4 linked regions of the Drosophila melanogaster genome follow. The protein of the gene in region 3 interacts with the protein of the main gene of each other region in a pairwise test. Each region holds a gene or a part of one and is shown on either strand. Other genes may lie near its edges.

Region 1 (5,096 bases), about 14 Mb from region 3:
CGTTCGAGCGCTCCGGTCCGGCGCTGGTCTTCACCTTCATGCTGGGCGGACGCCTGGTGGTCTGGTACCAGACCGCCCGCCTCCAGGACGAGGCCACGACGGCAGCGCAGCCTGCTGCGAACGGCGTAAAGCAGGACTAGGTGCCTGCTACCGGTGCATCACGTACTCATAGTCATTCACTGATCCAGCTTTGTTTTAGCACCTTAAGTTGGGCTCGAGATGGCGCGCCCTGTCTGCGGGTCTCAAATTCATTCACATCATTCTAGCAAATCGAAATTCATGTTTTCACTTTGGTGCCAAATTATTATCGTATACAGAACTACTATATTGTATGCAATGGCGAGAGATATTAACTAAACTGTAGACGCGACCAGATCAAACCAGAATGTAATCAAATCCTCTTCGTAACGGGCACTTAGTCGGAACCATTTAAATTACGACTTTAGAAACAATTTTAATAAATTTGAACAACTCATACATATTTAAAATTAATAATCCAACGTCAGTCAATCTGAATTTCGTTTTACTTTCGTCCTCAAACGAGCGATTAGCAGGAGATTATGCGGCATTATACTGGTGCTCTAAGCTATAACTGTGCCAAGGAAGCGATTCCTAAATACGTGTGAATGTGGATGTGTACGCCCTACTCGGACCCGGTGCTCAGCAGCTTCAGGGCCTTCTGCAGGTTCTCGATGGCTGTCTTGACGTCGTCGTAGTTGAGGGCACTGCCGGCGTACTTGCAATACTTCTGGGCGGTAATCATTTGGTCGGGAGTGATTTGCACCCCGGCCACGGGCACAATGGGCTGGTAAATGGTGGCCGCCGTGGCCGGATTAGGCTGAGCTGTGGGCACGTAGGGCACAAAGCCGCCCGGCTTCTCCTCGTCCACCGGTGGACTGGGCAATTTGTTCGGGTTGTTCAGCACCTCCTCGGCGGTGGGAGGGACCACTCCGGAAGTTGTCGGTGATGATGGAGCTGGTGGCTGTGAGTCAGGCTCCGGCTGGTAGGGCGCTGGAGCAGCTGCTCCCGCGGCGTCCTCCGGCGATGTGTCTGCCGAGGCGTTGGCATTCTCCCCCTCGAGCTCCGCCTCATCGTCGTCGTCTGGCAAGGGGCCGGGAATCGGTGTCTCACCGTTCTTCAGGCAATTGTGGATGTAGGCGGCCTTCCACTTGGCGTACTTCCTGTTGTGCAGCGCCTCTTCGCTCAGTTCACCGAAGGTCTGGAGAATGTCGTAGAGCACACCACTGGAGTAGAAGGCCTTAACGACGTTTCTGCGAAGAAGCACAATCTTATGAATCAGGAAAATCGATTCAGGGTATTTCTACGAAGGGAACGCACTTTCCGAAGTTCTCCTCGCGATCCTGTTTGTCGGCGTACAGGAATAGTTTCAAGGCGTAGTTCTCGATGTGTGCCTGGGCAGCCACCTCGTTGGTGATGGCCTCGTTCTCAGCATACTGTTTCTTCATCTGCTCCAGCCAGTCCATGATGCCTGGCGGTCGTAGGGAAAACCAAAACAAAACAAACCACGGATGAGTCATAGGCTGGTAATATGCGTATCGGATTTTTCACTCACCCAGCAGCAGTTTGGTTTCTTCACCCGTTTGGGTGGAGGCTTTGAGGCCCACCTGGAGAGCACTGGATTCGGAAGATGAGTAAATACGGGCAAAACAAGAAAAACTAATCTGTAGATACTCACTAGAGTCTCGCCCAGTAGGCGATGACCACATCCCGGGTATCATGTTCCTGGGCCAGCTTCAGAAAGTGTTGGATGGACTTCAGCGAGGGAGGACAAGGCGGAAACTCCATCGTGGTGGAAAGAGGGCTTAATCTTTAGTTCTATGCTTAATTACGGATCTGGAAAATTATGCCGACAACAATGGAAATGACGAGCACGCAGAGTGACCAGATATCGCAGTTTCTCGAATGCCATGGAACCACCCCAGTTCCAAACTCTGGAACTAGCGAAATACTAAAGTTTGTACCTTCGGCTAAAGTTGTTGGTTCGGCGCTCAGTTGCGAATCTGCGACCAAAACGTTTGGAGTTTCTCAGGTAAGCACTGGACTCTGGGAACTGGTTTTCGCTGTTATCAGTGCGACCAGTTGCACTTTGCACTTTGACCTGCATCCTTCACACCAGTCACATTCCAGGCACATCTCTGCACCACCGGCAACATGGTTCTCTCCAAGCCCCTGTACTCGCTCTTCGGCACTTATCTGGAGCAGCTCTTCAACCACCCGGTCCGCACCAAATCCATTACGGCGTAAGTACACTATTCGCCTTATCATCCGGTTCGCCTCACCCACCGGCTGCTCCTTACTGCAGATGCGTTCTGGCCACCTCGGCTAATGTCACCTCCCAGCGTTTGGCGGGCGCCAAGACCCTCAACCAGCAGAGCGTATTCGCCTACGGACTCTTTGGACTGATCTTCGGCGGTAGTGTGCCGCACTACTTCTACACGACGGTGGAGCGACTCTTCAGCCAGGATGTGCGCTTCCGAAGATTCTTCCTGTTCCTGTCCGAGCGACTGGTCTATGCTCCGATTTACCAGGCACTGTCCCTGTTCTTCTTGGCCCTGTTCGAGGTGAGAATCCATAATCCGCAATCTCAGTTCCTAGAACTATAATTTGTAATCCCTTACAGGGCAAGTCTCCCAGCACTGCATTGAAGAATGTTGAGAAGCTCTACTGGCCTCTGCTGAAGGCCAACTGGCAGTACCTGTCCGTGTTCGTGTACCTCAACTTCGCCTACGTGCCCCCGATGTTCCGGTCCATCAGCATGGCCATCATCTCCTTCATCTGGGTGGTGTACATCGCCCAGAAGCGTCGCCGCTTCCAGGACAAGCTGGCCGCCAAAGAGGCAGCCAAATAGGCTATACGACCCTTAAACCCTGTGGTAGTCGTCTTGGCCTAATATTCCAATTACTGCTTAGATTACGGCTGAACTGCTTCAAGTTCTTTATCTTCCCGCGTTCCGGCGGATTGCAAAAAGTCCGTGTGTATTTGAACACTTTAGATAAGCTAAAACTAACTGGAGGGGCGCCTTATCAACCGACTGTTGTTATACCTTAAACCCTAAATTTTGTAAACTTTTCTTACCAAAATAAACTAATATACAATGTATAAGATATCTAGATATCCATGGCCAAATTTGGCCAACAGAAATGCTTAACAAGTAGCGACAATCGTCGATCTAACATCCCATTTCCATTGCGCACAATGGATCCCAATTTGAGAAATTCCAAGGCAACCTTTTGAGATGCAACAAATAATGTCTGTTTTTTTTTTATTAAAACGCAGCTTAGAACTAGCAAATAATCGAGCAAAGGCTTACAAACGAGAATTATTGGCTTTTTATCGGCGCTACAATATAATTTCGCTAGTAAATTCATGGGCAGATGACTAACTTAGGGCTACGGAATGCAGTGTAAAACAAGTTAAATGCGCATAACAACTATCTTAAAACTAGGATTCTGACTAGAGGAGGTGACTACGATGATGGTGATGATTGTGGGGGGCACCTGTGCCTCAAGACTCGCCGCACATCCTGCGCAGCGACGCGGTTAACACTCAGAAGGCGGCCATCGACGGACTCCGGCTGTTGCGCAGGGGCGTGAGAAGGGGCGTGGCAGGACTGCTGGCGCGGCTAAAGCAACTGGAGCAGCAACTAGAGGCATCCTCCACCTCGCCCTCGGCGTTCGCCTTGTGGTGATAGGGAATCGGTCGCTTGCGAGCGCTGAAAGCATAATGAATAGATTAGTATGGGATTCGTGTAGCAAGCTTAAAAACCAAAGGGCAAATATGAAAGTAACTCACCAAACTGAAAATCGTAAGGAATAGAAAAGCAGTGGCTAAAAATCAAACAAAAGAAATCCTATAAAACCATATAATCGGTAAAGTGACAAAGTTTATTTGCGGCTTGGCTAAATTACGAAAAATCAGGATGACACACAATTTGATAGCTACAAATATATAAAAGAAGATTGGCGAGTAGTTAAGATAATCAAATTATAAGTAGTTCCTGAGTCAGCTGAAAAAATAAAACCATTTAGAAGAAATCAAGAGTTCGTGCTGTATAAATAAGGTGTAAAATTATTGTAACTCAATCGTGTAATGGATATAAGCAGTCACTAGCGTCTTGTGCTGCGCGGCGATCGACGGCTACGAAATAAAATGTAAAGAACAAATAAAATGTAAAAGAAAACGATTATTCAAAGAAATAATGAGGTCAACCAAGGCGGGGCAGGAATCCTGCCAAGTTACCTCGTTATGCGACGTCTGTCCAGAAAGCTTGGCGAGCCGCGACGCCTTGGGATGGAGGGCGATCGAGAGCCGGACTGTGATGATCCGGAGCCGCTGCCGGAGGAGGAGCTGCCCGAGCTGCTGTTCGTGGAGCAGCTGGTGCGGGAGGAGTGCGACCCAGACCTTGAGCTGTGCGATCCGCTGCGACTGCTGGACGAGCTGTACCGCCTACGAAGAGGGATAAGATTTAGCATTAGTCTACATTTAGAAACTTGCTCAGCCAAGTACTTACGATCTCGACTCGCTGCTGGAGTCATGTCGATGATGGCTGGTGCTGGTGCGCCTCTTGCTGCGACTACGACGCTCGCGACTGCGGCTCCTACGGGCCGCACTCTCCGCCGCCGCCACGGTGGCCGTGGATACCTTGGAGACGATAGCATCCACCAGTGAGCTGTCCGCGAGCGCCGCGACTAGAGGCTGTGGATCGTGAATTTTGAAGGGTTTTATAACGATTTTCGGTTTTTGTTGGTGTTGATGGTGATGATGAAGGTAGCTAATACTATTGGCGGCCACAGCCGCAGCCGCTGCCGCCGCATTGAAGCTAATGGGCCCGCCACCACCCCGGACATGCGACGGATGGCCCAACAGCGGAGCACCTGGCCCACTCATGCCCACACCAGCTCCCGTCAGGGACAGCAGTCCCGGATGGCGCTGTCCATGGCCGAAGAGAGCCGAGTTGTAGACCAAGCCACGAGCCAGGTGGTGCGCCTGCTGCTGCTGCAGGCTGTGCTGGTGGTTTTTGCAGATGTTGTAGTGTGTGGCGGTTAGAAGGGGACCGTGGTTGAGGCGGTTTGTGG
Region 2 (6,522 bases), on a different chromosome or scaffold from region 3:
CCAGATGTCTATTTGCTATGCATCCAAAGTGGCTTCGCGCCATCGCAACGATGATGTATTCATGGTGCGGGCGGTGAAGGTGTGATGATGTCATGTGGGTGGGTGGTTGGCTAGATGCGCAGATGATACAATGCGACTGTAACTCATCAATTGCCACCGATTACCAATGCCCATTTGCTATGCATTCCGCGGGCTGTGCACGCGTGCAGTGCGTTTAAAGCCGCTACATAGCTGCAAACTGCATAACCTGCATAATTGAAATGCCTTTTCCGTACATTCCAGTACCCCGAGCTGAATCCCATGGTGATGCGGCGCTTCAGCGAGCCCGGCGACGTGGAGCGCGCCTTCGAGCTGGTGCACAAGTCGCACGGTCTGGAGCAGACCCGGTTTCTGGCCAAGAAGCACTGCAACGAGGCGATACGGCTGGCCCAGGAGCTCACGGAGTCGCCCTACCAGAAGGGTCTCCAGGTGGTCGCCGACTTAGTCATCAACCGCATGAAGTAGAGTACCGAGCACCCGAACACCCTAACATAAACCATACACGTAATGCAATAATAATAATATTAATAATAATATTGTTATGTAGGCCCATTGATGTTTGGATTAAGTCCTGTTCAGCCGGCGGGCCAATTTGTAAACAAGAATTATTATTTAGTTTTTAGGCATTTGTTGTTGACACTGTAAATAATTGCATAAAAAAACCTAATCAACACACACTAAATGGCAACGATCGCTGTACATAACATAATTACAAGATGTTTAATGAATTTTTGACAAATTTTGTATGCAATGTTTTTCGACAAATTTATTTATATGTATAGAGAGCGAAACATGAGCCAAAAGCCAACAACAATAGGGGAAACGAGAAAATTGTACAAACATTTCATCAAATAAATGAATGGAAATGGGTTGCCAGGCGAGCACCAAATGTGGAATCTACTTTAAAATGAAAATGTTTATTAGTCAATGCAACAAAGAAAGCCAGTGTGTAGAGCGATATTTTTAATACGAAGCACGAGGAGCATAATTGGTTTATTTTATATTAATACTTGATTTAGGGCATTTCATGCCTAAATGGTTCAATGGTCATTGCCTGCACTCTGTTTAAAATCCCTTCCGACCGCACAAACTTGTAACTTAAAGTGGAAAGCCCGTAGTTTAGCTGGATTAAATAAAATATTTTGAACCATTCGCGCATGAAATGCATATTATAATATGTTCTATAAGAAATGTAACGAGGATTGTATGTGAAACAATGCTGCCCAGTCTTAATTTTAAATCTTTCTTCTCCGCCTCTAATGCAATAGTAATTTAAAAGACATTTGAAACGAATTCGAACCGCAAACCCCAAATGTTGAAATGTTCTACAAATCTTTTTAGATGTAAGTTTTTATTTTAATTTATAAACACAACCTCAGTTAAGTTAGTCAGCGAAATTCGTTTTTTTGTCCGTTTAGTTTTGATGCAAATTCATTGGGCTCCTTTACAGCCTGCTCTACACTGAAAGAAAGGCAAATGAAAGATATAATGCAGAAATTTGCTGGCTAGTTAATCAATACAATTGGGTGCTGACGACGATATACCCACATATTTTAGAGTGCGAACGACAAAATAATGATACAGATGTTGATATTGATACATGTAATTACGATATTTGTATACCTAATGAGATGAATAAAAATTCGATTTTGTAAAACAAGCAAATTGGAGCTGATTTCGCCGCTTGTAGCTATGCAACATATTAACCACCAACCAGGTTGACCCAGTGAAATAGTTTTGGACATGGCCAAAATGCCTTATGTTGCAACGGGCATGGCTGAAACCGAAATTGGGGCAAACAAATAAATTTGGCGGTGTGAGTTGCTGGCTGAAATTGTAACTGCCACACGGGGCGTATGAGTAATGCTTGCTGCTTAGGCTTGCAAGAGCTTTTCATTTTAAAACATCAACAAGTTTCGTATTAAGTGGCACGCTATACTGCAGTAGGCTTACTTTTGCGTTTCATTAAAACAGAGCATCACGATTCAGGTTAAGCCAACGCAGCCGTGGCATTATTTCCAGGCAACATAAAGTCAATATATTTTATGTCCAGGCAGTCTAGCAAAGTGGAGCAGGCAAACATCGTGTCTAACTGGCGAAATATTTAAATAGCCAGACCAAATTAGCTGAGGTTTCGATATCCTTCGACTCGCCTTCAAGGACAGACGACCGAAGTGTGCCTTAACCTAGGTTATAAATAGTCGGGCGTGCTGCCTAGACAACCGACCCATCATCCACGGCCCTTTAGTGCCTGGCACGGATCCTGGCAGCCAATTCGGCGGTTAAACGGCTTGGATGGGACACGAGACCGATTCAGTAACGCCGCGTTTGCTGAACGCAGCGCTACTTCTGTTCTCGTTCTACCAGTTTCCCAAACATCCAGATAGGATCTCCAGAGCATTCAGAGAGCCATGACGACTAGCGATGAAATGGGCATGGGGGGCAACTTCTGCCACGACCACATCCAGCATCCGCTGATGTGGTGCGATGAGAAGAAGCGTCTTGTGGAGCGCAAGAATGCAGAGGAGAGTCTTCGCATGTGGCGGCGCCGGAAGGCGGAGGAGTGTGCTCGCAAGGAGAAGGATAAGCAGGAGGTGGGTAACAGTGCGTATGTGTGTGATATTTCCAGACCGTGCGTATGAGTTATATTTTAGGGCCCCAAGCAAAGTTGTTAGTAGTTACCTGAAACACCTTAAGCTTGGAACTCTGAACCCTAAATATATTAGTTTTAAAACTTTAAAGGCCATAATCAATTCACCAAGTTCCAAGTTCTTTGTCTAAGTCTAAGGCAAAACCAGAAACGAACGAAATGACAATCGAAAAACATCTCGAACCATCCGCCACGCAATAGTTGCAACTTTTGGTAAGTTCAAAGACCTGCCTCAAGCAACATGTAAGGCATCCGCCCCCGCGGATCTGGTTCAACAAACCCTTTGACAATTTCGACTTCGGTAATCAAATCCCCTCTCTTCGGCTAAAAGCCCAACTCCTGCGAGTCCTTGCGTGACTGGAGTCCTGGCTCCTTGCTCCACTACCTATCACAACCTGCAGCTGTGTGAAAGCGCCAACCGAAATGTGGGTGAAAAAAATCAGTGAAATGCAAATCGCCGTTCGCTGCAACTATAACAACAACCTACTAACAAACTTTGTGGGCCAGGGCAGCGGGAGCTCCTGAATTTGCCAATTTCCGTAAACAAACATCGCCACACTTCGCGGAGTGACACGACGAGGTGGGTTGAGGCAGTCTGGAGCCACAAATAGGCTGCCACCCAATCGATAAGGCATAACTCGGTGTTGTAATCGTCCTGCGGAAGTAATTTAATGTATTTATGTTGTGACTTTATTGCGGGTAATGCGATTCATGATTTCAGCGGAGGATACGTTAGTTTGCCTAAACGATTTTTCCAAGCATCACAATCTTTACTGAAATAAGTTGAAGATCAATTCGTATCAACAATGTTCTTTTATCCAGTACTACGACCTGTTTCACCAACATTGTCCCTGGGGTCGACCTGGTGGTGGGGCACCCAACGTAGAGGTGCGACGCAAGGACATCACAGCCGCTGGCCTTCACTCGACGCCCACAGTGGTAAGGACTCTTGAATCCTTCTCGAATAACATATATTCTACTCCAATAATTTGAATGTGCCGCAGACCAATGCCCACCGAATGAATCTACTGCAGCCGTGTCGCTACAACGACTTCTTCTCGATGCAGAAGAAGTGCCACAACAACCCGCTGGCCGCCTACCATCACCACCACCACCACGCCCCGCCTGCTCCGCCGCCGGGTGGCCGACTGGGCCACGCCCACTCGGTCCATCACCTGCAGGAAAGTGGTCCCAGGAGCAGCACCGTAACGATTTGCGAGCGGGAGATTCCGCACAAGCCCGGAGCGGCAGTTGGTGTCAATGTGGCCAAAAACGCCAACGGTGAGAGCCTTCACATCGAGCTGAAAGAACATCCTTCAATGTCGTTTCGCAATAAAGGCCATGTGGACATAGAATTGCGGTACAAGCCCTCTCCTCCGTGCAAGGGGAAGCCGCTTCTGGAGAAGATCGTAGTCAGCGAGAGTGAGCAGCGATGTCCTTTGCAGGAAAAGCTGGCCACTCAGAAGAAGCGCTTGCAAGCCAAACTCGAAAAGCCGGTGAGCGGCACTTATTACGCCCCCTGAAACCAAGTTTAACTAATCCCTCTTTATCTGTCCTCCTTCTAGTCCTGCAAGGAGCCGTGGGGCAAGGCGGGTCCGGGCGGCAAGCCATGGCGGAGTCCCAAGGAAGTGGGCAACACGTTCATGAAGTCACTGGTGGGTATCAGTCGCTTGTGCTCATATGTACACTGTTTAAATATAATCTAATTTCAGGGTTGGACGAACAAGGAGATGCTGAAGGAGTTGGACCAAGATAACCCGGTGACTCCCGCGGAGAAGAACACCTTTCGCAAATCGCGACCAGGCAAGCCACCAAAGCCGCAGCGCTGCTGTGAGTTGTGCACTTGCAAATGTCCCGCCATGCAAAAGAGTCCGCCCAAGCCGTCGCCACTCTCACTTCCCATTCCGCCAGGCAAAAAGTGCCCGGGTCCGCCAGGTCCGCCGCCCGGAAAAATGCTGCACCACTTGAAGCCGCAGGACTGCGGTAGCAAGCCCATCAAGTTGTGCCCCCGCATAGCGTCGAGAGGTCCCTGTCCCGGGAGCACCAGTACCGCCACTCCGGATCCCAGCACAGCGGGAGGAAAGGGAGGAGCCTATGGCGAAGGTGGTGGGGTGGAGCTGGTTCCCCTGCTCGCCAGAAGGCGTGGCATGCACCGACCCATCAGTCTCTCCAGCACGGACGTGACCAAGAGGACACCGTCGCACGATAGGTACGCATCCAAGCACAAGCATCCACCAAAGAACTGTCAGCTGACCACCACCAAGATCAAGTGCATCAACAGCATCATCAAGAACATTAGCCACATGAAGCGGCTGCCCAAGAATCTGAACTGCAAGCTGCAGTGTTGCAGTTGCGATTGCCCCACGGCCTTGGCCACGGGCTGCTGCCTCAAGCGGCTGACCCTGCACATTCGCCAGGCTTGAAACCCACGTTCTATCAATCCCGATCCCCTCCTGCTTTCATAGTACTACCATTCCACCACCTCCCTGCTCCCACCGTTTCTCATTTGCTTGCTCTGCGCCAGACATTGAAACGAAAGTCCGCTTGCCCCTCTATGCCTTTGCCTTGTGATCTTGTTCTGTTAATGGTTTCTCTAATCCCCCACTTCTCCTCGGCTCATCCAGCAAGAAAATATCCATTGTAATACAAGTGAAAGTATAGCAACCAAACGAGCAAACCAAATACCAATCTCACCAAAATCAAACAAACCGCAACAGCAAAAGTCAAAAATCATAATACCAATCTTCTATGTATGTATCCCCGTGCAAAACAAATCGAACTGAAAACCGAAAATCGAAAATTCGAAATCTGAAAAATCGAACTGATATAAATGAAACTATAATATTGCTGCCCACCAATCGACCGGCAACCAGGATTCAAACGGCCGCCGACATGCGCTATCTGCACGACCTGAATGTCCAGATCTCGCAGAACCGTCGATCCGTCTCCGTTTCCAAGCAACTGGACAGGGATCTGTGCAACCAACATTTCGACACATTCGAAACGTTCTGGGGCAGACCAGGACATGGAGCCCGTGGCGACAAGATCAACAAACTGAAACTGGACAATCTGCTCTATGGCGCCAGCGAATCGGCGTAAGGCCAAGGATTCTTGGATATTCAAGGATATTCCCTCACCTTCTGACTGGCTCGTAGTTTGTGCGCTTAAGTCATCTGCTCAGAAATCAATCGATGCCAAGACCCATGAAATCACATTACTGGAGTAATTATTTATTTATTACTATTTTAGGTTCTTCAAGTTCGCAATTCCAGTAATATTAATATCAGCCTATATGTCATTTGTACTATCTCTGTGAAAATTTTGCCAACTTGCTTCTAGTAAGTTGACCAAAGTTTTGAATAGGTTGTTTTCTAAATTAAGGGAAAACTAAAAAATATGGTCAGGGTGGTGAATTAAATTACAAAATCTCTTTTGATGGAGAGTGTAGGTAGTTTAATAAATAGGTAATAAAGAAAAAAATAGATCTACGAACTCTTTCGAATCTTTGTTAATTTAATATTGACAAATAATTCATTTTGGCTTATATATAGCATAAGTAATATCTTGTAAATACAAAACAATCAATTATACAGAAAAATAAAATATATTAATAAATTAAAACCACTTTTAACATAGCGATTACTGTACCTAAATATTCGTTGGCAACCAGTTCCCATCAAACTGTTTTAGCATTAAACAGTTGCCCTCAAACTGCATCGTTCCGACTGCTAGGAAAAATAAATTCAATCATTTCTCTCGAGTTTGTTTTTGAAGGACATTTTTATTATTATACATATGTTTATGTAGTATGTAATAGATCACATAAAGCAAAA
Region 3 (5,933 bases):
CAGGCCATGACTTATAATCCCAGGGAGCAGTGCAAGCGACATGTAATCGATGTTTATCCGCATTCCGACAACTGCAATTACTTTTACCAGTGTCGCTCTGGCTATTTGATGGTCCAGCAGTGTCCTTTCTTCTACGGATGGGACTACGAGAAGCGATCCTGTGTAGCACTAGGTCAAGCCAAATGCTACAACAAGCTGCAAATGCAAATGAAAATTTATTAAATACACATAATAATATTTATTAAAAAAAAAAAACGAAATTTTACATTTAGTTAATTAACGAGCTTTGTGGAAAAATTGAAAATATTGAACATAAAGTGTTGTATGTTTACATATGGAATAAACCTAAATACTGGTAATCAATAAGACTTCTTTGTAAAACTATCAAGCAACACGGCCGACCTTGACTCTTTCCTAAATTTATCAGGTGATATCAAGCAATTCTTTCATATCTCTGCAAAATGAAGACCTTGAATCGAAACATTTGCCAAAATAGGCCAACCTTCGATTTGAAACATAGTAATTTGACCGATATGATACGATTTTCCTCACAAGGACAACATATGTCATCGTGATATCACCTAATCAATTTCCTAGCTAATCTCGGCTTCCTTTTCACCAGACTTTAAAATTAAAAATCCAGCATTAAAGTTGTATCTGCTTGCCATTTCGAGATACGATATCGATTGATTGCGAGGAAAGGGAGCCATATTTCTTTTTTGGCAAAACAAAATACAGGAGTCTTATCAACTTCTTCCTACAAGCAATTGAAAATGTTAATTTTCTGATACTGAGCCACATATGCGGCTGTATCTTGGCGCCGAATGTATCACATATATGCCAAGTTCACCGGGCATTACGAAATTAGAATATAACTGCGCTCTACTGGAGTCTGACGATAGAAAAAACGATGATGCTTAATACGGGTTAGTAAGATGGATATTCTCAAAACTAATAGTATGATGAGAATTTATTGGTTTCCAGCTTTCTATTTGATCGTGAACTGCTTGCTGGCCACAGCGCAATTAACCTGGAGACCATCGAAGCCCACAAACTCGGTGACCATCAGGCAGAGTGGTAGTAGAATATGTGCCAATCATTTGGTTGGTGAGTTTGTGGAGCATGCGGAGGACTGCCACATGTTTTACCTGTGCGTTGAGAACGGGGATGCAGTCCTGGCTTCCTGCCCACCAACGATGCTCTTCAATTCGGAGAGCAGACTCTGCGATTCGGCGACAAATGTAAAGTGCAGAAATGAAACGGATCCCATAGAGACTCCTCCATTCGATGGCGGAAATGGTGATGGAGATCCGAATAACATGGTCACGGATGCCGCCACTTATTGCTCCACGTTGGTGGAGCAACAACAATCCAGCGACAGGATTGTATATGTCGGCAGCTCGAGTAGTTGCAGAAAGTACTATATTTGCTACTATGGACAGGCGATCTTGCAGGAGTGCAGCTCGCAATTGCACTGGAATGCAATGACGGGTAAATGCGATATTCCGGAGAGAGCCCAGTGCACCGTAGGTGGTCAGGAGGATATGCCAACGAATGGAAATTCCGGTTTCCCATCCGGTGGCACCGCCATTTCGAGTGATCTCATTCACTGCCCCGCCTACGGACAGCATCTGTATCCCCATATGCAGCGATGCGAGTTCTTTATCTACTGCGTCAAAGGACACGCCAGCCTGCAGCAATGTCCTTTCTATTACTTCTTCGATATTGCCACCAAAAGTTGTCAATGGTCGCGCACGGCTCAGTGTGTGCGAGATTTAAATTTGGCACCACTAATAAAATAGAAGTTTTAATATATGTAGCATACAATTTTTTGAACTTTGGGAGATACCAAATGCTTTTAGAGAGGTTTCTTTTAAAAGTACTACTACTTTTAAAACTCCCGCCGATTACAGATGAAAACCAGAACTAATGTGTGTACACACTAACTTTCGACAACAATGTTCGATGAATCGGTTTCGATAAAGTTGACTATATGGCCACTGTTCTTTTTTGCGGTAGTCAGACACGGTCATACAAATCCCACAATATAATGTTAAATTAATCATATTTATACTTATCTTCATTTAAGTAAAGCGAAATATTCGATTGACCCTCGAAGTAAACAACCCAGGTGCTCAAAAATGAAGCTAACAAAGTTAGATTAATCGGTGTCTACGAATTATCTGGAAACACAAGCATTTCCCGTCATCTAACTCAAACTGCCCAACTCGAAAAATCAACAATATTTTTGCATCGGGCCAAAGGTGCATTAAAACCGGAGCCTCAAGTCTCGGGCGGCAGGTAATTTATTCAAGTTCAAAACAGCCACCCGGGGATTCTCCTAGACATCGGTTGCCACAAGAAAAGAAGAAGAATTAGGCGTAATCTTCTAGAAAATTGGTGATTTCAGCCGAGAATGTTTGAGAATTTTCGAGGTATTTTTCGGAAACGGCGTCGCTGCGAGTCGGACACAACACCGCCGCCACCGCCGCCGCAACCCGCCCAGGAGGCGGAGATAATAAACCGATATCCGGAAGATATAGAAGCCGATACGCCCGAGTCCAATGATGGCTTTGACGCCTCCTGGACCGAAGGCTCTTTTCACAGCCCACATTCAGATAGGTAATTGAATTCTGCGCATTCACGCTTCCTCTTCTCTCTTATTGCAGCTTCAAAGCAAAAACAGATAAAATTAAGCTTAAGCAACAGCATCAAACACTTCGACACCCACTCGAAAAAAAAAGCTTAAGACATTCCAAAAAAAGTAGCCAGCAAAGCGGCTAAAAAAAAATAAATAAGATAAAACCAAAACCCAAAACGAAACAGTAGGCAGCTATCCAACCATCTTGGGTGACAAACACTTGACCGGCTTTTTGGAGGGCGACAGGTTTAAATCAAATCTGGAGCAGCCGCAGGATATGGAAGTTGATGCGCCAACAACGCAGGAAACCAGTGACACTCATCATCATCACCATAGTACTTATCACCAGCAGCTGCATCAGATCTCGCCCAGCGATTACCACTCGGAGGCATCCATGAATTTTGATCATTTGCAAGACCTGAGGGCCGATGCCATGGCCTCCTCATCCCCATCCGGATCCGGAGGTGGTGGCAATGGCGGGAACAGCTCCTACGGACTCGTCGACGATAGTAGAGCTCTGGACAGGTTGTTATTCCATCATAACTAAAACCAAATCAGACACGAAACCAAAACAATACCACCGATTATATTCACACAACCTCGTAGCGAAACAAAAGTTATACGTTTCTTATCTATTATTTCTTCACACTACCAGCTACCAGCTTCATTCGAATCTTTTGTTCCATAATAGTAATGGTGATAGCTTAAAGTATCTGCCGCGAACGCCCACACAACTCTCAAAAGAGCTTTGTGTGCGAGCGCCTTTTCTTGTAGACATATTCTGGTTATAATTTCGTAGCTCTATAAGTGGTCAGTCGATCTGTAGCAGAGCGATCTAACAATCTAACGTTGCTTGTCTCGTTTCATGACTTAACCACTGAACCGCAATCACACTTAACCGACATGTGACAGACCATTTAACGCCAGCGAGAGGTAAATCTTGAATTTATAATAACCACTGAGCGTGACTAACCTTTGAGTGACTCGCAGATTTGTCACCATACTGGATAGTTTGGATGCACGTGTGGAGAAGCTGCGCAAGGATGCACTCAACCTGCAGGAGAAGAAAGACTACCTTCTGATGTCCATGGATCTGATCAAGAGCAACGAAATGATGCAGAACATGAGCGAAGGTAAGTGACAGTGATTCTTAAAACTAATTTGAACCCTCATTGTTCATAGCTTTACTAAAATGTGTATTATTTCGAAGTCGGAAGTAATGGTTTCTGATGACAAACTAAGTAAAGGGTTATTCATAGTTGACTGTGAGCTAATGTTGTACCACCTTCTTTTGCAGCTGAACGAGAGGAGATCATTTTGTACCTACAACGGGTGAGCTCTCGCTTGGCCACCGTGGAGCTGCGTGTGCGCACTGTTCGGGACAACTCTCAGGAGGATTCCCTTAGCCAGATAAATGTATTGATTGACAGCATGATCAAGATGGGTGATCCCGTGATCGGACGCCAACGATGCCAGTTTTACTTAAACGCCTGCTGCAGCAGCTCAATGGATCCATCCGGACACATGGACACCGTGCCCGAGGCCGATGTTGGGCCGGTCGACAAGAAGTTCGAGAGCGTTTTGCTTGGCTGCACTCTGGACGATCAGAAGAACATCAAGAAGCGGCTCCAGGCCTTAATGGCTTATCTGAATAAGCAAACTGTTAGCCATTAATTAAATTGTTTTTTGGTCTATTAACTATTCATAGCATTATTATCAAACCAAACGAAATACATCACCAAGCTAGATGAAACGAATAATAAAGAAAGCAGCATATACACCAGGCCAGCAGTGTTTGAATCAAGTAAAATATAATTTTAATATTTATATTAACAAACTAAATGTTATAAGCTAGGAAAGCACATGTCCTTCGCATTCAAGACCCGATCACTTAGGACCCATAATGCATCATTGGAGGTGAAGAAAATCTGCTGAATGTTCTTCGATGTGATATATATGATTTCGTTGCCCTCGGCTGTGATGTTGGCTAGTTTGGCACATCGTACGACAGCTCCGAATTTGGGGATAACATAGTACAATGTTCCGAAATTGTCGATGATCATGCTGCGACTGCTGCCCAGAAGACTGCCCAAATGTGTGAGTTTAATGCTATTGTTAATTGGTTTGCTTGCTAATTCGCTTTTGCCTTCAATTTCCAGTCTGTCCACCGTACTGTATAGATCACCATCCTGGTCGGAGAGTATGAGTTCCCCTTGAATTCCGAAGATGAAATCCACTGGCTTGATGGGAAACGATTGATTCATATTCTCGTACTTATTGCTCTCCAAGGATAGGCGGTGCCACGTCTGCTCCAGGATGTCGTAGGCTAGAATTTCTGGTACCTTTCCAAGGATGAAGTAAATATGGCGCTCGTGCTCGCATCCCGGACTCTTGGGTCCCATTTGGACAGTCAGAAAGTGGGTGTCATTAGCACCTATATGGTGTCCACAATCGATTCTCAATAGCTCCGCGTTGTTACGCATCAGATCGAAGACAAACAAACGGGGTGAGCACGTGCTGCCGGGAAATCCGATGTCCATGACCCACAGTCGACTCAGTGCATCCACCTGGGACCAGTGTGCCTGTTGTACCAGAGAGCAATCATCATGATCCCCCATGGAATGAACATCGATGTGGGGAAAGACGACAGTGGGCATGGGAAAATAGGAAACCGGCCATTGCGCCTCGATCAAAGTGGGCGCATCGTTGCTTTCTACATTTACGCTGAGAAACACTCGCGAAAAGTGCATCGATAGATGACGGACTTTGTAGCTGGATTCGTTTAAACCAGATTCGGATAACAGCCAGGCGTCCGTGGCCAGAATTAGACCAACAATGAGAAATCCCAAGCCGAGGACACCATGTGTGACCATCTTTAAACGCGAATTCAGACTGAGCTTAGGGCTAGAGAACTCTGCTTACGTTGTAAGTGCCCGTTCAAGAAGTCCACCAAAGTGTCTACATCAGCAGTTGGGATCGGGTGTCGCCGAATATATCGGCGACCTGCATTAATGGGGACCAGCATTGGAGTGTTTCTCTATTCACTTGTGGTCCCAAAAAAAAAAAGCTTACCAATTTCAATCGGAGAATATCGAAATCATGACACAGTTTCCTCTTAAAATTACCCAAAATTGGATTGTTATATTTTTCAAAATAAATCAAAGTTAAAACCAACAAAATGGTTGTTTTGTACCACCATAATAACCTATAATAAATAAATCATAATAAGGCTATTTTTGTCGAACTTTAGCGATATTGATAAGGTTCCTGTGAACTGAACCTACCTTAAGTG
Region 4 (4,692 bases), on a different chromosome or scaffold from region 3:
TGGATTTGTGGAAATTTATTTCTTGTCATTCATGTGTCATCCCAAATATTTAATGTTTACTTGTAGTAATTTATGTAATGTAAGCAAATGCAAGCCAATCTAATCAAGCATATAATCAAATTAGTCTTAAAGCCTTTTTTCTAACGATGCATTTATGCGTTAAAGCATCAGTTAATATCTCTTAAATTGTATAAAATGATCATTCACCAAATGTCAATTTTATACTTACGATTAAGTGTGCAAAATATTATCAAACAACACTCAAATATTTTCTAAGGTCTCTACTATTTAAGATATCACGATGTTGTCCAGAAAAAAAGTATTTAGAAAGGGTTCGCCTCGCCGTGTGCGTATTTCCAAAAAGTTCCCAGCATCTTGCCCAGAAACCCTCTGCCATCCAACGATCTCTTGACTTGGCTTGATTAAGCTACTAAGACCAAAACTTTTGGTAACTACTCGATAAGCTCAATCGATGCCATTTACAATGATATACATTATGACTGAATTAGTTAAGAGAATTGCATTGAACTGACAACTGAACAAACCATTAATTAACCAATTGAAAACCAACTATTCCTCGCCCTGAAGACATTCGTTTCATATATTTATGGACTTTAAGACTGAGTTTATTGTATCTTAAAAATTATTAACCCATGACCAAAAAAAAAACAAAAAAATTGGAACATTGTACGATTCCCAAACCAAAAACCAAACACTTATTATGCCTAAATGTTTTAACTGATATTAATGTTTGTATCTTACCATTAAGCTTGTGTGCCGTCACATTGAATCGCCCGATATTTTATGATTGTATACTTAATAAGATTATAATTCCTAACTGCATATCACGTGGTCTTCACCGATCGACGAAGACACGATTACGAACTGTGGGCAGTGTGACTGCTAAAATAAGACATGATTTTATAATGAACTTTTCATATACAATGTTTACATTTTAAATAAAACGCAGATATCTTTTAATTTTTAAAAATACGTGTGTATAGTTTATTATTAGGCGCAAGAGACTTTGTACTATGATTATTGAGTCGAACTGCGTTAACAAATACTTTTGAAATTTGATTCTGATACCAGGAGATTGCAATATGACTGTGGAGTGATTCATTTACATATTAAAAAGCTAACACCGTTGAAAATTTAAGAAAAATGCACCAGTCGCGAAATTTATGATCATCCACTGTTGGCTGTAGTGTGTGTGTGTGTGTGTGCAAGACTGTGGAGATGCATTCCCATGGAGCGGTTGCATTGAATCATTCTTTCAATACGAGCAGCCAATGGCCACGGTGAGGAAGTCCTCGAACCCAATGGTGATGGTTCCATTCTGCTGGGTGTCGCGCTGCCTGAAGGCCTCCGTGAAACGCTGCACCTGCACGCAGAGCACTATGAACTGATCCACGGACACCTCTTTGTGGCCCTGGGGGTCGCTCTTCTTCACCAGGAAGTTTATGAATTCGGGCGAGAATCGAAAGCCCATCTGGGTGAAGGCTGCCAACAAGTTTGGTAATTAGTGTAAAAGGCCATAAAGGAATTGGAGATTCAGTTGTTGTGTTAGCTTACCTTGGGTCAGCTCCTGTTCCTCGATATGTCCAGAGGAGTCCTGATCGTAGGTCTTGAAGACTTGCTGCAACAGTGATACAATGAGTCAGACTACTTAGTTTCGATATAAGAAATACCTTACCAGCCATTGGTTGATGTAGTTGTAGAGCTTCTCGAACTCATAGATATCGATGGTACCACTGGCGTCGTTGTCGAACATGCCTGTTGAGTAAATTAAAAAAGGCGATAAAAATACAACATAAATCGCAGGGTAAACAAACGGAAAAGTGTCTGGCGCTCCAGGTGATCTAAACAAATATGCATGTACCCTAAATTGGGGCAATAAATACAGTGAAACATTTATAGCCGAAAGTATAACTAAATTGATACTGACTGTCTGTTAGGGGAGTACTGACGTCACAGTTTCCGGAAGGGGAATCGAAGGAATTTTAAAGTATTTCATAACTGAAGCTTACTTAGCTATCATCAGCTCACAGGATGATCTAAATATATGTGCCCATGTGCCCTTCATTGGTTCTTGGCATACAGCGGGTGTGCTAGGCTACGCATAGAAGATTCAAATCGACAACCTGTTCTTGTGTTCTTGTGTTACTATATTGCCTACCAAACTAGTTTAGCTTATGATCGTCTTTTAGAGGGTCTACTGTATAGTATACAGTGTATACACGTTTGTTAGTGTTCACCTACTGACGTCACAGTTCCTGTAGAGGAAACTTTGGGATCTTTTTTGGGCAGGGCTTAAGCTTACTTATCATCAGCTTGCAGGCATTATCCGAGAAGTGATCGCCACGCCCATTCACCAGGGCCGCCTGCAACTCGGAAGCGTTTATCTTTCCAGATCGGTCGCGGTCCACCATGGAGAACCATTGCTGTGCCTGCGGAGACACCTGGGCATTCTGCGGCGGAAATGCTCCTGGCGGCGGGGCATAGCCACCACCGGGCTGGGCATACGGGTTATAGCCTTGTCCCTGTGGATAAACGGTAGTAAGTACATTTAATCCACTTTCTTAAGCATAAACACACTCACATAAGACATTTTGTCACGAGCCTAGTTCGATTCTAATTGGAACTTGAGGGACAAAACAATTTTAATGAAACTACAGATGACAAGAAGGGCGTTCACCAACACTGGTTTGGGCAAGCGATAACAATGTGACATATCGATAGCATTGCTAGACTTATTGCTTGGCTATACTCCCATCCCTATCGCCGGTATAAACAACTAACAAAAGCAGCAAAACATTAAGCAAAAATGTCGAACTTCGTGAACTTGGACATCTTCTCCAACTACCAAAAGTACATAGACAATGAACAGGAAGTCAGGGAGGTGAGTTGACGGTTAATATCCTAAAAACCACCATCTTAAACCATTGTTTTTAGAACATCCGCATTGTGGTGCGCGAAATCGAGCATTTGTCAAAGGAAGCGCAGATTAAACTGCAGATTATTCATAGCGATTTGAGCCAGAGTAAGTTCTGTACAATTTGGTAGCTTGTATGTTTTGTTCTAATATGACATTATACTTGAACAATAGTTAGTGCCGCCTGCGGCTTAGCCCGCAAACAGGTTGAGCTGTGTGCCCAAAAGTACCAGAAATTGGCCGAACTGGTGCCAGCTGGGCAGTACTACAGGTGAGTCAGATGGTGAAATCCGTGGTGTCTATTGTGGGTGTCGAATGCTCCGCCTTCTCCAGATACTCCGATCACTGGACCTTCATTACGCAGCGTTTGATCTTCATCATTGCCTTGGTTATTTACCTGGAGGCGGGCTTCTTGGTCACCCGCGAAACAGTGGCCGAAATGCTGGGATGTAAGCTAGATTTGGAAGGCTCTCTGGATACGAAATAATAGTTAATTACTCCACAGTGAAGATCAGCCAGTCTGAGGGCTTCCATCTGGATGTGGAGGACTATCTACTGGGCATACTGCAGTTGGCGTCGGAGCTCTCCCGATTCGCTACCAATTCCGTCACCATGGGCGACTACGAGCGTCCCCTGAATATCTCCCATTTTATTGGTGACCTGAACACGGGCTTCCGTCTGCTGAACCTGAAGAACGATGGCTTGCGAAAGCGCTTCGATGCCTTAAAGTATGATGTCAAGAAGATCGAGGAGGTCGTCTACGATGTCAGCATACGCGGTCTGTCCAGCAAGGAAAAGGACCAGCAGGAGGAGCCGGCTGTTCCTGCAACCGAATAGTTTACTTCGTACGTAGGATAAGGCGTTTATTAAAATGAAAAAGTTTCATTTAAACAAGCAAATATATTACATTCATTAAACAGAGTATCATTTTATTTTACTATTTAAATCAGGAATGCTCGTAGGAATCAAATGTAGCAGGATATATGTATGTAATCCTGTGTTAAAAATCTGAAATGTGTTTTTGTTTTTTTTCAGAACACATTTCTTTACATCTTAATAGGCACCATCTTATTTTAATGATCAGTTTACACAGAAGCGAAATAGTGCTTTGAACCATAACAAAAAAACATAAGTTTGTGCAACTTAAAGGTAATTAAAATGGCTGTGCGCGTTTTGATTAAATCATAACTAAGTATACATAGAGACAAGTGCAGAAGTTTGATGGCTTAACCCTTTTGAAACTTGTTTAGCCACCACCACTGGGCCGCAGTTGTTGTTGTTGCCCCGATCATATGGTGGATTTGTTGCTGCTCTTCTTTGGCCGCTGCTTCCGTTTCGCCTTTGCTTCTGCTTCTCAGGCGCAGTTTCAGTCTCTCTTTTGCCACCGCAACGCTTACAACGTTAACATTGCGCGCGCGTCTTTGCATTTTCTTGTTTGCTGCTTCGTCGTCCGTCGTCCTTCCCGTGTTGTTCTTATTGTTTTTTCCCGCTTTGTGCGCTCTTTATTGTTTCGCCCTTTCTAGCATTTTGATTTGAAAGTGGAGACTGCAATTGGTTACCATTTCAAGAAAGTAAGTCTGGCGGGCAGTTGGCCGTGTGAAAAGTCCGTTGGCCCAGAAACTCACCCGCTCTCTTGACCACGCCCCCTTTTCCGTCCCCGGCCCGAAAAAAAAGCTAAAAACTGAGAGACTCCAACCTGTTTGGCAATAATTGGGTCACAAATCTGGTAAAAACTTGTTGCCCGAAATGGTCACTAA

Evidence for each region.
Region 1: the proteins of CG7945 (region 3) and CG7970 interact in a two-hybrid assay, tested with the Drosophila melanogaster proteins (one large-scale study listed by BioGRID).
Region 2: the proteins of CG7945 (region 3) and CG15564 interact in a two-hybrid assay, tested with the Drosophila melanogaster proteins (one large-scale study listed by BioGRID).
Region 4: the proteins of CG7945 (region 3) and trsn interact in a two-hybrid assay, tested with the Drosophila melanogaster proteins (one large-scale study listed by BioGRID).

The regions. Positions count from the first base shown.
Region 1 is NT_037436.4:1,650,994-1,656,089, forward strand, and holds CG7970 (uncharacterized protein), read left to right. Parts: upstream 1-1,806; 5' UTR 1,807-1,882; coding exon 1,883-2,050; intron 2,051-2,137; exon of another isoform or gene 2,138-2,148; coding exon 2,149-2,261; intron 2,262-2,323; coding exon 2,324-2,582; intron 2,583-2,641; coding exon 2,642-2,869; 3' UTR 2,870-3,245; downstream 3,246-5,096. Other genes in the region: CG13920 (uncharacterized protein), read left to right, coding at 1-140; Vta1 (vesicle trafficking 1), read right to left, coding at 644-1,271, 1,339-1,489, 1,574-1,635, 1,697-1,806; Srrm234 (Serine-arginine repetitive matrix 2/3/4), read right to left, coding at 3,568-3,733, 4,261-4,467, 4,532-5,096.
Region 2 is NT_033777.3:31,231,210-31,237,731, reverse strand, and holds CG15564 (uncharacterized protein), read left to right. Parts: upstream 1-2,369; 5' UTR 2,370-2,450; coding exon 2,451-2,633; intron 2,634-3,511; coding exon 3,512-3,628; intron 3,629-3,693; coding exon 3,694-3,970; intron 3,971-4,027; coding exon 4,028-4,185; intron 4,186-4,254; coding exon 4,255-4,344; intron 4,345-4,401; coding exon 4,402-5,112; 3' UTR 5,113-5,317; downstream 5,318-6,522. Other genes in the region: qless, read left to right, coding at 283-504; CG15563 (uncharacterized protein), read left to right, coding at 5,438-5,788.
Region 3 is NT_037436.4:15,520,201-15,526,133, reverse strand, and holds CG7945 (uncharacterized protein), read left to right. Parts: upstream 1-1,996; 5' UTR 1,997-2,301; exon of another isoform or gene 2,302-2,416; coding exon of another isoform or gene 2,417-2,622; intron 2,623-2,669; 5' UTR 2,670-2,918; coding exon 2,919-3,166; intron 3,167-3,553; coding exon 3,554-3,574; intron 3,575-3,631; coding exon 3,632-3,774; intron 3,775-3,938; coding exon 3,939-4,315; 3' UTR 4,316-4,423; downstream 4,424-5,933. Other genes in the region: CG33985 (uncharacterized protein), read left to right, coding at 4-222; CG33986 (uncharacterized protein), read left to right, coding at 911-926, 985-1,802; yellow-k, read right to left, coding at 4,486-5,514.
Region 4 is NT_033778.4:10,478,174-10,482,865, reverse strand, and holds trsn (translin), read left to right. Parts: upstream 1-2,754; 5' UTR 2,755-2,827; coding exon 2,828-2,902; intron 2,903-2,955; coding exon 2,956-3,043; intron 3,044-3,109; coding exon 3,110-3,206; intron 3,207-3,268; coding exon 3,269-3,384; intron 3,385-3,440; coding exon 3,441-3,772; 3' UTR 3,773-3,855; downstream 3,856-4,692. Other genes in the region: Pef (peflin), read right to left, coding at 1,277-1,503, 1,576-1,639, 1,697-1,776, 2,324-2,543, 2,603-2,611.